Linked DNA regions of Drosophila melanogaster. The protein of the gene in region 1 interacts with the protein of each later gene in a biochemical or structural test. Each region holds a gene or a part of one and is shown in the gene's direction. Other genes may lie near its edges. The genes, in order: btd and Taf4.

Region 1 (5,775 bases):
ATGGGTAGCTTAAGAGTCGAGATGCACTTCCGTGAGCTTGTTCCGTTTTGGGAGTCATCATTATCTTTTCACAGCAGCAGCAAGTCGTAAAATTTGTGGCTCAGACCCACGTTGCGTATGCGTAATAAAAAAGACGCCGCGTAATAAAAAGGGAGCGAAAACAACAACAGCAACAGCAATTGTGATTAATATGCGGCACACAAGCATACACAAACGCACGCACACACGAAACGGGCGCAGGCCATGCGAGAGAGAGAGAGCGAAGGAGAGAGCTGCTGTCTCTTTTGTGGTGGTGTTTGGTCAACGCCCCTTTAAATACAGTTATTTCATTGGGCCGCGACCACAAATTTATTAGTTTTTATTGTTATTGTATTGATATTTGAATTATGCACGCTCCCTCTTCGTCTTCTAACGTTACTTTTTATCATTGGGATCCTCTGGAGAAAAATGCCATTAAACAGAAATTTTAATTTAATTAAAGTGATGAGCCATACTTCTTTCTCTCTGTCTGCTTACTTTCATCGAAACAAATTGATGGTCTGAGTGGGCAAGGGGATAATGAGAATTTAAGCAGATATTCGTGCTTTTAATGACGGTACTTGAAATGTGTAAAATGTCGAGTAATTTATGGGCATTAAAAATCGGTCGGATATATGTAACAATACCTATATTTTGTGTGTACTTAAGGTTTATATGAGAAATTTAAATGTTTAAAATTGAAAATAAAAACTAAATTTGTAGTTAGAAACTATCTCTAAGTTAGCAGACTTAAAAAAAATTAATACAATTTTTCTAAAATATTTGCTAAGCTCTTTATTTTGAATTGCAAAGGATACGTGAATACGTTATTTATTTTATACACATTTTGAGGGGTTGATAGGGTTAAAATAAACATAAATTATGGAATATATAGATTAACCAACTAAATAATAAAATATTTCAAATACTTCACTAATCAAATATTTCAAATACTTCACTAAAAATGCTAATAATGTAAATTATTTACACATATTCTTAAATACAAACTTTGCATTAAATTTAAGCCAACATTTTTGGCTTAAAGTTTAGATATAACCAACAATAACAACAAATATAAGCATTTTGAGCACTAGCTGAAACGACAACAACAACAGCAACAACAAAACGCATGCTCACCCAATTGCTTTGACACACAAACCCACACATAGAAATTAAAACAAAACGCCCGCGGCAGCAGCGCCAGCAATAACAACACTGCAACAGCAACGTGGAGAGAGAGCACCATACCGCAAGAGCGAAAGAGAGAGAGAGAGTGAGCTAGCTACGGAGAGTGGCTGCTGCTGCCGGGAGTGACACTTCCGCGCCACACGTGCAAGCGAGACGAAGCGAGTTGCCCCGAAGGCACACCGTTGCGGCCAAAAACAACCACCATGATGGTGCCGAGAGCGAGAGAGAGCGAGAGCTGGCTCAGCGCTCAGTGGCGATAGACGAGTGCGAGAATGTGACAGCACGAGCAGCAGCAGCGCTGCCGCTGCCCTCTGCCCGCGCCTCTGCCCGCAGCCAAGTGGATTCGTTTTGTACGTTGTTAGACTCTCTCGCCGCGTTTTGGAATTCAGTCGACAATCGACGATAATTACCGGTGGTTGTATCACATCACATCACGCGCAGCAGCAGCAGCACTACGAACGAAAGAAGAAGAAGCAGAAGAGCCAGCCGCAGTGGCAGCAGAGAAACTCGCTCGTTTTCGGATCTATATATATATATATGCATATAGATTTGTATATATAGAGGGATATATATATATATATATTTGCACGCAGCATTGGCGAATTTTCGGCCGCCTTTAATTTGTTTGTGTTTTTTCCGTGTTCTCCTCCGCGTGCTCGCAATTACGTGCGCGGCAGCAAAAGACTATAATTATAAAACTAAAGTGAAAAGCGTGCCATAATTACACGAGCGAATATCAATAAGTGCAAGAGCAATGTGCGAAAATTGTTAACGAACGCAGTAGCAACCAGAAGCAGTAAAACGCAGCAGCAATCGCAGCAGTAGGATCCAAACAAATCTCAGCGCAACATTAAAATCGCAAGCGTTTTCAACATGATCGATGCGGCCTGCAATTACTTAAATCCCTATGCGCAACAGCATCAGGCGCAGCAGCAGCAACATGCGCAACATCAGCAACACGCGCAACAACAGCAACATCATCTGCACATGCAGCAGGCGCAACATCATCTGCACTTGTCGCATCAGCAGGCGCAACAGCAGCATATGCAACACTTGACACAGCAACAGCAGCAGCAGCAACAACAACAGCAGCAACAGCAGCAGCAACAGCAGCAACAACAACAGCCGCAACAGCAGCAACATGACTTCCTCAGCGCCGCCGCCCTGCTGTCCGCCCCACCATCCCTATCCGGCTCGAGTTCCGGCTCCAGCTCCGGCAGTTCTCCGCTATATGGAAAGCCGCCAATGAAGCTGGAACTGCCGTATCCACAGGCCTCATCCACGGGCACCGCATCGCCCAACTCCAGCATACAATCGGCGCCATCATCGGCCTCCGTGTCGCCCAGCATCTTCCCATCACCTGCCCAGTCATTCGCCTCCATTTCGGCTAGTCCATCCACGCCCACCACGACCTTGGCGCCACCAACAACGGCGGCAGCGGGCGCCCTAGCGGGATCACCCACATCCTCCTCACCATCCTCGTCAGCAGCATCGGCTGCAGCGGCGGCAGCAGCAGCTGCGGCGGCAGCAGCGGACCTTGGAGCAGCGGCGGTCGCCAGTGCCGCCTACGGCTGGAATACCGCCTACTCCGGATTGGGGCCAGCGAGGTAAATATCCCTATATATAGGATTTACAGAAGTTGAGTTGGGAATCATTCGTAAGAAAGAAACTTTAAAATGCTAGTGATCAATAAATCAAAGCTTATAGATCATCAAATTTGTGGTTATTAGGGATACACTAATTTCGATCTGAATTAGATCTCCTTTTAATAGAATAACTACAGGCTGATTGTATTTCGATCATGAGCGAGATAAAGACATATATCTTTTGCAAATTATACAGTTTAATACATAGGAATATATTAATCAAATTATCCCGAAGATTGAAATGGATTAGCATACAAATAATCTCATAAACTTATAAAATGATAGGTACCACTTGAATACATTACAATTTAGTATTCCGATAGCAGGTGTACCCATTAAGTAAATGATTAAAAAAAACCAAATTAACCATTCTCTGTCTTCATTTCTTTTCTCCATCTAGAAGTCAGTTTCCATATGCCCAGTACGCCTCCGATTATTACGGCAATGCGGTGGGCATGTCCTCCTCGGCCGCTTGGTTCTCGCATCAGGAGCGCCTCTATCAGCCATGGAGTTCACAGAGCTATCCGGGCTTCAATTTCGACGACATCGCCTTCCAGACGCAATTGCAACGCCGCTCCGTTCGCTGCACGTGTCCCAATTGCACCAACGAGATGAGCGGCCTGCCACCGATTGTGGGTCCGGATGAGCGCGGACGCAAGCAGCATATCTGCCACATTCCGGGCTGCGAACGGCTATACGGTAAGGCGTCGCATCTGAAGACCCACCTGCGCTGGCACACCGGCGAGCGGCCCTTCCTGTGCCTCACGTGCGGCAAGCGTTTCTCCCGATCGGATGAGCTGCAGCGGCACGGACGTACGCACACCAATTACCGCCCGTATGCCTGCCCCATTTGCTCCAAGAAGTTTTCGCGCAGCGATCACCTCAGCAAGCACAAGAAGACCCATTTCAAGGACAAGAAGAGCAAGAAGGTATTGGCCGCCGAGGCCAAGGAGCAGGCGGCTGCGGCGATAAAGCTGGAAAAGAAGGAGAAGAAGTCGGGTAAGCCACTGACGCCACCCGTGGAATTCAAGCAGGAGCAGCCGGATACGACACCGCTGGTCAACTATGCGCCCTATGCCAATCTCTATCAGCATTCCACATCCGCCGGATCGAGTGTGAATCCTCCGCCGCCACCGCCGCCGCTCTTCCAGCAGCAGATGACGACGACAACATCATCGGCGGCGGCCAGCTTTGTGGAGCAGCCGTGGAGCAGTAGCAGCAGCCGTGCCATACAACCAGCCACTACCTCAGCCAGTTCATCCTCATCCTCCAGCGCCAGTTCCCCAGCGGCAGCGGTCGTTTCTGCCATTGGATCTGCATCTTCCCCAGCCGCATCAGCCACGGCGCTGGCCCAGCATCATTATGCCGCACTTGCCATGCAAAGTGAGTCCCAGCTGGCGGCGGAATATGGGCTAACCATGAGCGGATTGGCCAGCGGAGCTAGCCAGGATTCCAGCTCCAGTTGCCACATGAAGTCCGAGTATGCGGCCAGTTATCCGGCTGATTTTGGTGCGGGAACAGCCAGTTACGGTTATCCGCATCCACATCCGCACCATCACAATGCGTGGGCAGCGGCCTATCATCCACATGCCACCGCCTAGGATGTCCCCGATCCTTCCCAAAATTGTTACAGTTGAAAGTTGATGAAACAAATGCCATAATGTCCCAAAACCCAGAACGGCAACAAAGCAAGCGTAGAACGAAAATCTAGTGTGTGTTTTTTTTTCAGTGTTTATTGTTGATATAAAAATATAATGTGAAAATCAAAAAAAAATTTGAATTCACAAAATACCGTATAAGGCATTATATAATATTATATAAATATATATATATATATATACATACACATATATTAACTATACATGTAGAGACTAGAACTTGAATTTTTTTCATTTTTTTTCCCCCAATCTAGTAGCTAAGGCATTTTTTTTTGCATGTCTGTACATACAAACATATATAGCGTTCTTTTTAAGCCATACCATATAGAATGAGAGAAACCATCTAGTTGTGTACCATAATAATTGTTAATTGTCTTTAAGATAAATTATATACAACAACAAAAAGTGAAAAATCCAAGGCGACAAAATCCCCACACTGAAATGAAATCCTAACAATAAAAAAAAAAAACGAACAAAATAATATCGGAAAACAAAGCGAATCCAGTTTTTTATTATTCTCTCCGATCCCGACGCACCCTTGTTAATGGGTTCCTGGCTTGGTTAGATTTCAGGGTTGTTTGATCTCCGCCAGGGGTTGCTTTCTTGCATATAAATCGAGGGATCCAGGAAGCTTCCCGACTTCCGGCGAACTTGATCTGCTTTTGGGTGCTGACCTTTGGCGGTATTTGGATAATAATAGAAACTTTTTCAATAGCAATCATTATAGCTGTCTGCATTTCTAGTTATAATTTCATCAACGTCGGCCATCGCTTTAAAATTGCAAAAACATTGTTAGCTTGGGAGATGTACATCATTTATAGATTGCTTTACTTTAAAATGTGCATAAATAAAGGTACGAATGTGATATGTATATATCCTTAAATACAATGATTTATTTAGTCAAGATACACATAGTTGTAGAATTTCATAACAATCGGATGTGATTTAATAGTAGTTTTTCTCACTAAAAGCGGCTTACCACTTTTAGATCTCTTCAAGATTCCAGATCCCCGGTCCTTTTCCTAGCTGCGAAATTAATTTAATCCCATTTCCCGCAGCTCAGCATCTATACCCCACACCCACCCCCCTTACTTCAACTGGGGATCATAACTCACAAGGGGCACATATTCAATCTTTAGGCAACCAATGAGAGTCAATTTAGCTCGAGCGACTATCCCACTTTGGCCAGCCCAAAATGAATTGCCCAACACAGAGTTTATAATTAAACGGGAAACATTTTGTCCCAGCAGAATAAGGGGGGAGGG
Region 2 (5,092 bases), on another chromosome or scaffold:
CTGTATCATAGCCACTGTAATTGTTGCCCGCCGGAGGAGCCGAACTAGGGGGCTTGGGACCACCGTTCGACTTGTCCATCTTGCCCTTGACCTGATTCTTGACTGGCGGAGCCGAGTAGTGCGTCTTGCTGACCGAGGCTGTCGAACCGGAGGCGTTGTAGCTGGCCGGCGACTGCTGATAGAATGTCTTGGTGGCGTCGTATTGCATGGCACTTCGATAGTCGCCGTAGCCACCATAACCCCCCGCCCCAGGGCCAGAGGTGGCGCCAGCGCCCGCTCCTGCTGCTCCGCCATAACCACCCTGTCCGGCGGCCACAGCGGCATTCTGATAGGCGGCCGCATTCGCGTAGGTGGCATTGGTTACCGCCGGGTACGAGACTTGGCCCGTATTGTACTGGGTGCCGCCGTAGTTAAACCCGGCGTAGTTGTTGTTGGCCATTGTCGCGGTGCGCTGCAATTACGAAAATCGAATTTGTTTGACAATCTGTCTGCGGTTTACTAGTTTACCATTGGCATTTGCATTTGCATTTTGGACCTGCCCCCATCCCCACCAAGTGCTCTACTTACATTAGCTGTCCTATCCGACTGACTGTCAATATTTATGGGACTTCGAATGCGGATTTATTCGGGAATTTATATGTGCTTTCCGAGTAATAGCCTGTTTATAGCTGTAAAAGCAAAGTGGTCTTAGTCACGTCATGTTGAGAAAGGAGCTCCCCCCACCACTTTCCCATCCGTTTTTCATCTGCTTTTCTCTATCGATTTTTACCCCGCAGCTTTGGACGCACTTTTCGCGTGTCTGGCCCACATGCGAGTGAGCACACGTGGCGATCTCTTTTCCAACGGCATTTTAGCCCTAGTTGTGCATGGTTAAAAAACAGTTAATGCAAATGGCAATTACCTGAAATCGGTTAAATAAAATTTTTCTTCCGTCTCTATGGGCCGGTACTAGTGTGACCGCAGCGTAATCGGATAATCATACTATGTTGAGCCCGACTTGAAACAAATACCACTTTTTATTTTTGGAAGTTTTTGGAAAATATACCATTACACTATATATGTTGCTTATTTAACGGAATTTGTTTAATATTAAAATTGGTATGGTCTATTTTATTAAGACCGCTATTTGTACGATATGTATTTAACTCGCTCTACAGAATTATTTTGCCCGTTGTGCTGAAGTTTAGCATTTCAAAGATACCGAAAACTAACAAAAATACCATCACGTTGGTGGTGGGGCATGTAGTTCGGTATCAAAGTGGAACTATCGATTGTTTGACCGTTACAAAGTACTACTCCTTCGTTTGAATATATATATGATTTAAGTATATGAGCAAATAGCGTTTAAATATAAAAAAATAATAACATTTTTGAGCATTTTCTTCAATTCTGTAATTACCTAACATTCAGCTTTAAACAGTACTCTAATAATAGTTTTAGTAGTTTCTAATTTTTGAGCGTATTCTTCATTTATTCAATTACCTAACATTCAGCTTTAAACAGTACTCTAATAATAGTTCAAAGGATTTAAAATGTATCGTATTCGAATGTATTAAAATAAATTATTTTGATCCTTAAAAATTGTGGCTTATTACCCATATAAAAACTAATGAGCATATAATTAATTTGGTATGCGGCTAAAATCCGATGGCATCAAAATGCCAGCAAACGTTTTTGGTTTTGAAAATGTACGCAACAAGGCTATAAAAAATCGACATGATATCCAAGTCACTACTTCTTTTCTAGTATTTTAATTCGGTATCGCGTTTAACACGACGATATTGTCGCCAACGGTCACACTGCACAACTCGTCCGTACCTCGGCGGTCCGTAAACAATATTTACTCGGTTTTCGGCTAAATCGCCAGAGAAACGCAACGGGAAATCGTTTAAAATGCGCCCCAGTGCACCGAGTTTGAACGCAAAATGAATTGAAGTGAGTGCATCTGCCACAGGGCCCAGAAAATTTCCCCCGACATTGCAGGCTGTACAAAACCTATACTGAAACACACGCACACAGTCGCACAGACACGGACGTGGGTTTATGCCACCACCCGCTGGCCACTAAAGTAGAAATTACTAATACTACGGCTGGCACGATGCTCCATATTGCCACTGGAGACATGTACAAGATGCATTTGTTTTCTTTTTGTTTTAAATATTTTTATGCGGATTTTCGAAAAATATGAATTTTTCCTAATAGAAATCATCAATTATTAAGTGCTCCACTTTCGAGTTGAACTTTTTTTTAAATTTAGTGCATTCACGAATATTGCGCACTCGCCACCCGCATAAACGAGCGGCATTGCCAGATCGTTGGTTACGTGTTTTTCGCACGCTATCTGGCAACGTCCACCAGCCTCGATTTTCGCTTTGCACGCGCATTCGTGAAAATGGCGGCGTTCTGGCACCGTCGCTGCCAAATTTTTTGTACATCAAAATAATCAAAATAAAGCATTCTTCCAGTGCTCAACAATCAGTCCGTGCGAGCACGCGCGAGTGTGTGTGTGCGCAGGAAAACCCGCCGATCGGGAAAAGTGTAGAAAGGCTTAGCGGCGCAAACAAAAGGCAGCGAATTAGCGAGATAACACACACGCGACAACGACTGCAACGGATGCGCCAGGAGAAAGGCCGACGACAGTGACGGCAAAGGCGAGTGCGAGTGAGCCAGCGCAGCACCAATTCAGCGGAGCACCCGCTTTTTTGGCCAAGGTGAATGCGATTACCTGTGCGCGGCATCCAGGTGTACGCAGCATCTGGTTTATGGCGCACGGCCGCCAGGTAGCCGGCGGTCAGGTAGCACCTCCACCGCCTACCTGTTTCTCCACCGCCTCGAGCCGAATCTTGTATAAATACTAAAAGCGCCTCCCCTTGCATTGCAGTTCGCTTCTGGAGCGCACAGCATGCAACAACTCCGCCAACACCAACACAGGATGTGCGCAACTAGTTGATCGGAACAGGATCGCTCGCCCACACCAACACACAGAAGTCAGTGGAATAGGAGAAACACACTCGCCAATAACATAAACACCACACAGCACGATGAACACCAGCCAGACAGCTGCCGGCAATCGCATCACCTTCACCAGCCAGCCGCTGCCCAATGGCACCATCAGCATAGCCGGCAATCCCGGCGCGGTCATCTCCACGGCCCAGCTACCGAATACCACCACCATCAAGACGATCCAGGCGGGGATCGGTGGTCAGCATCAGGGACTTCAGCAGGTGCATCATGTCCAACAGCAGCAGCAGTCGCAACAGCAACAACAGCAGCAACAGCAGACGCAATCCGTAGGTGCCACCCAAACACAAACCCTAGTTATTAAATCCAACCACCATGCTGTCACCCTGCCGGCGGGTCTAGTCTCAAGTGCACCAGCAGGAATCGTAACCATGACCAAGACCATCAATCAGGTATCCATATTAAAGCTAAACCCACTCTTCGGGCGCTAGGCGATCGCAACTCGGGCGTATCACTTCGTCCAAATCTGATCCCCAATCAAAACCCCCTCAATTCCTCGCTCGAATCGGATAGTAGTGGCCGCACACACTTTGGTTGTATACTTTTATTATGCTTTCATCTGTCTACCTCGCTGCCCGAAATTCCCATATCCTTATCCAAATGGGGTTAGTCCCAGGCTTGATAACGTATTTTACGCTTAAAAAATATCCTTAATTCATTAATGTGAAATCTGAAACTTATATCTGAGTTGAAATCTGAAACTTATATCTGAGTTTGTTGCACTCATTTTTGTACTTTTATTTAAAATTAATTTCTTTTTTTACGAATGTCATATCAATTCACTTCATTAGAACTTAAAGCAGTTTAATCACCATAAAAGACATATCTTTAATTTGAAATACTTTATCCCAATGCCGAAAAGTTTCCCAAAGATCAAATCCCTAACAACTGTTCAAAAACACGCACTTGTTCAACAGAAACCTTATTCTACACCAATATCCAAACCATTACATTTGTAGAACTATTGCTTTCAATGCTCGCTTTAAATAGAACAAGATATAGTAGATTATACGCCTTCAAATTTGGTTAGCACAGAGAGAATCAGTTAAACAACTTATTTCCGCACTAATTGGGGTCCTTTGCCGAGCCAACTGCTGCATGATGTAGGCTAATTTAGAATCCCGCAAAACCTCTTAATGCATCCTTTGGTCCAAATAGACTTTGAAAATGTGATGAGATGAATTGATAGACTAATGATAATGTTGCGTATTTGCCAGGCCGGTCAACCGCTGCTCAATTCAATGCTGCCGGCTGGCGTGGTGGTGGGCATGCGCCAACAGGCGCCGTCACAGCAGCAGCAGAAGAATGTGCCCACCAACCCGCTCAGTCGCGTGGTGATCAACTCCCACATGGCGGGCGTGAGACCGCAGAGTCCATCGGTGAGTATGAAGGATAATATTGCTATTACTATGGTTGTTGTGGTGGGTTCTTCCCTACTAACTCACAGAGCTCCCTAACCCAGCCACGCTCCTCACAAACACGCATGTGCACAGCCCACCATTCACTCACACCATACACCATACACACCATGCTCCAGCAGATGAAAACCGAGTCTCTCTGTCTTCTCTCTCTACTTTTAGATAACTTTAAGCACACTTAATACGGGTCAGACCCCGGCATTGCTGGTCAAGACGGATAACGGATTCCAGCTGTTGCGCGTGGGCACGACGACGGGTCCGCCGACGGTGACACAGACTATAACCAACACCAGCAATAACAGCAACACGACAAGCACCACAAACCATCCCACAACCACACAGATCCGTCTGCAAACTGTGCCGGCTGCAGCTGTAAGTAGATACCAACAACAACAACAACATCAGCAGCAATCGCAACAGCAGCAACAATCGCAACAGCAGCAACATGCAACCAGCACAACCGCCAGCACTAGTATTGCACTGCGCAAAACGATTGTCCGTACATCATCCACAGTCCCATCCAGCAATAATAACAATAATAGTATCAATGCCACCACCAACACCACCACCACCACCACTACCAACAACAACAACAAACCCGCTACTAACCAGCAACAGCAGCAGCAGAAGCTCCAACAGCAGCAACATCTGAA

The links.
Region 2: the proteins of btd (region 1) and Taf4 form a complex in vitro, tested with the Drosophila melanogaster proteins (one study listed by BioGRID).

What each region holds. Positions count from the first base shown.
Region 1 is NC_004354.4:9,692,595-9,698,369, forward strand, and holds btd (buttonhead), read left to right. Parts: upstream 1-1,591; 5' UTR 1,592-2,079; coding exon 2,080-2,813; intron 2,814-3,252; coding exon 3,253-4,453; 3' UTR 4,454-4,964; downstream 4,965-5,775. UniProt on the Drosophila melanogaster protein: Required for the development of the antennal, intercalary and mandibular segments of the head.
Region 2 is NT_037436.4:16,111,431-16,116,522, forward strand, and holds the start of Taf4 (TBP-associated factor 4), read left to right. Parts: upstream 1-1,781; 5' UTR 1,782-1,935; intron 1,936-2,359; exon of another isoform or gene 2,360-2,454; 5' UTR 2,455-2,711; intron 2,712-2,877; exon of another isoform or gene 2,878-2,881; 5' UTR 2,882-3,041; coding exon 3,042-3,413; intron 3,414-4,238; coding exon 4,239-4,400; intron 4,401-4,601; coding exon 4,602-5,092. Other genes in the region: Zn72D (Zinc-finger protein at 72D), read right to left, coding at 1-439. UniProt on the Drosophila melanogaster protein: TFIID is a multimeric protein complex that plays a central role in mediating promoter responses to various activators and repressors.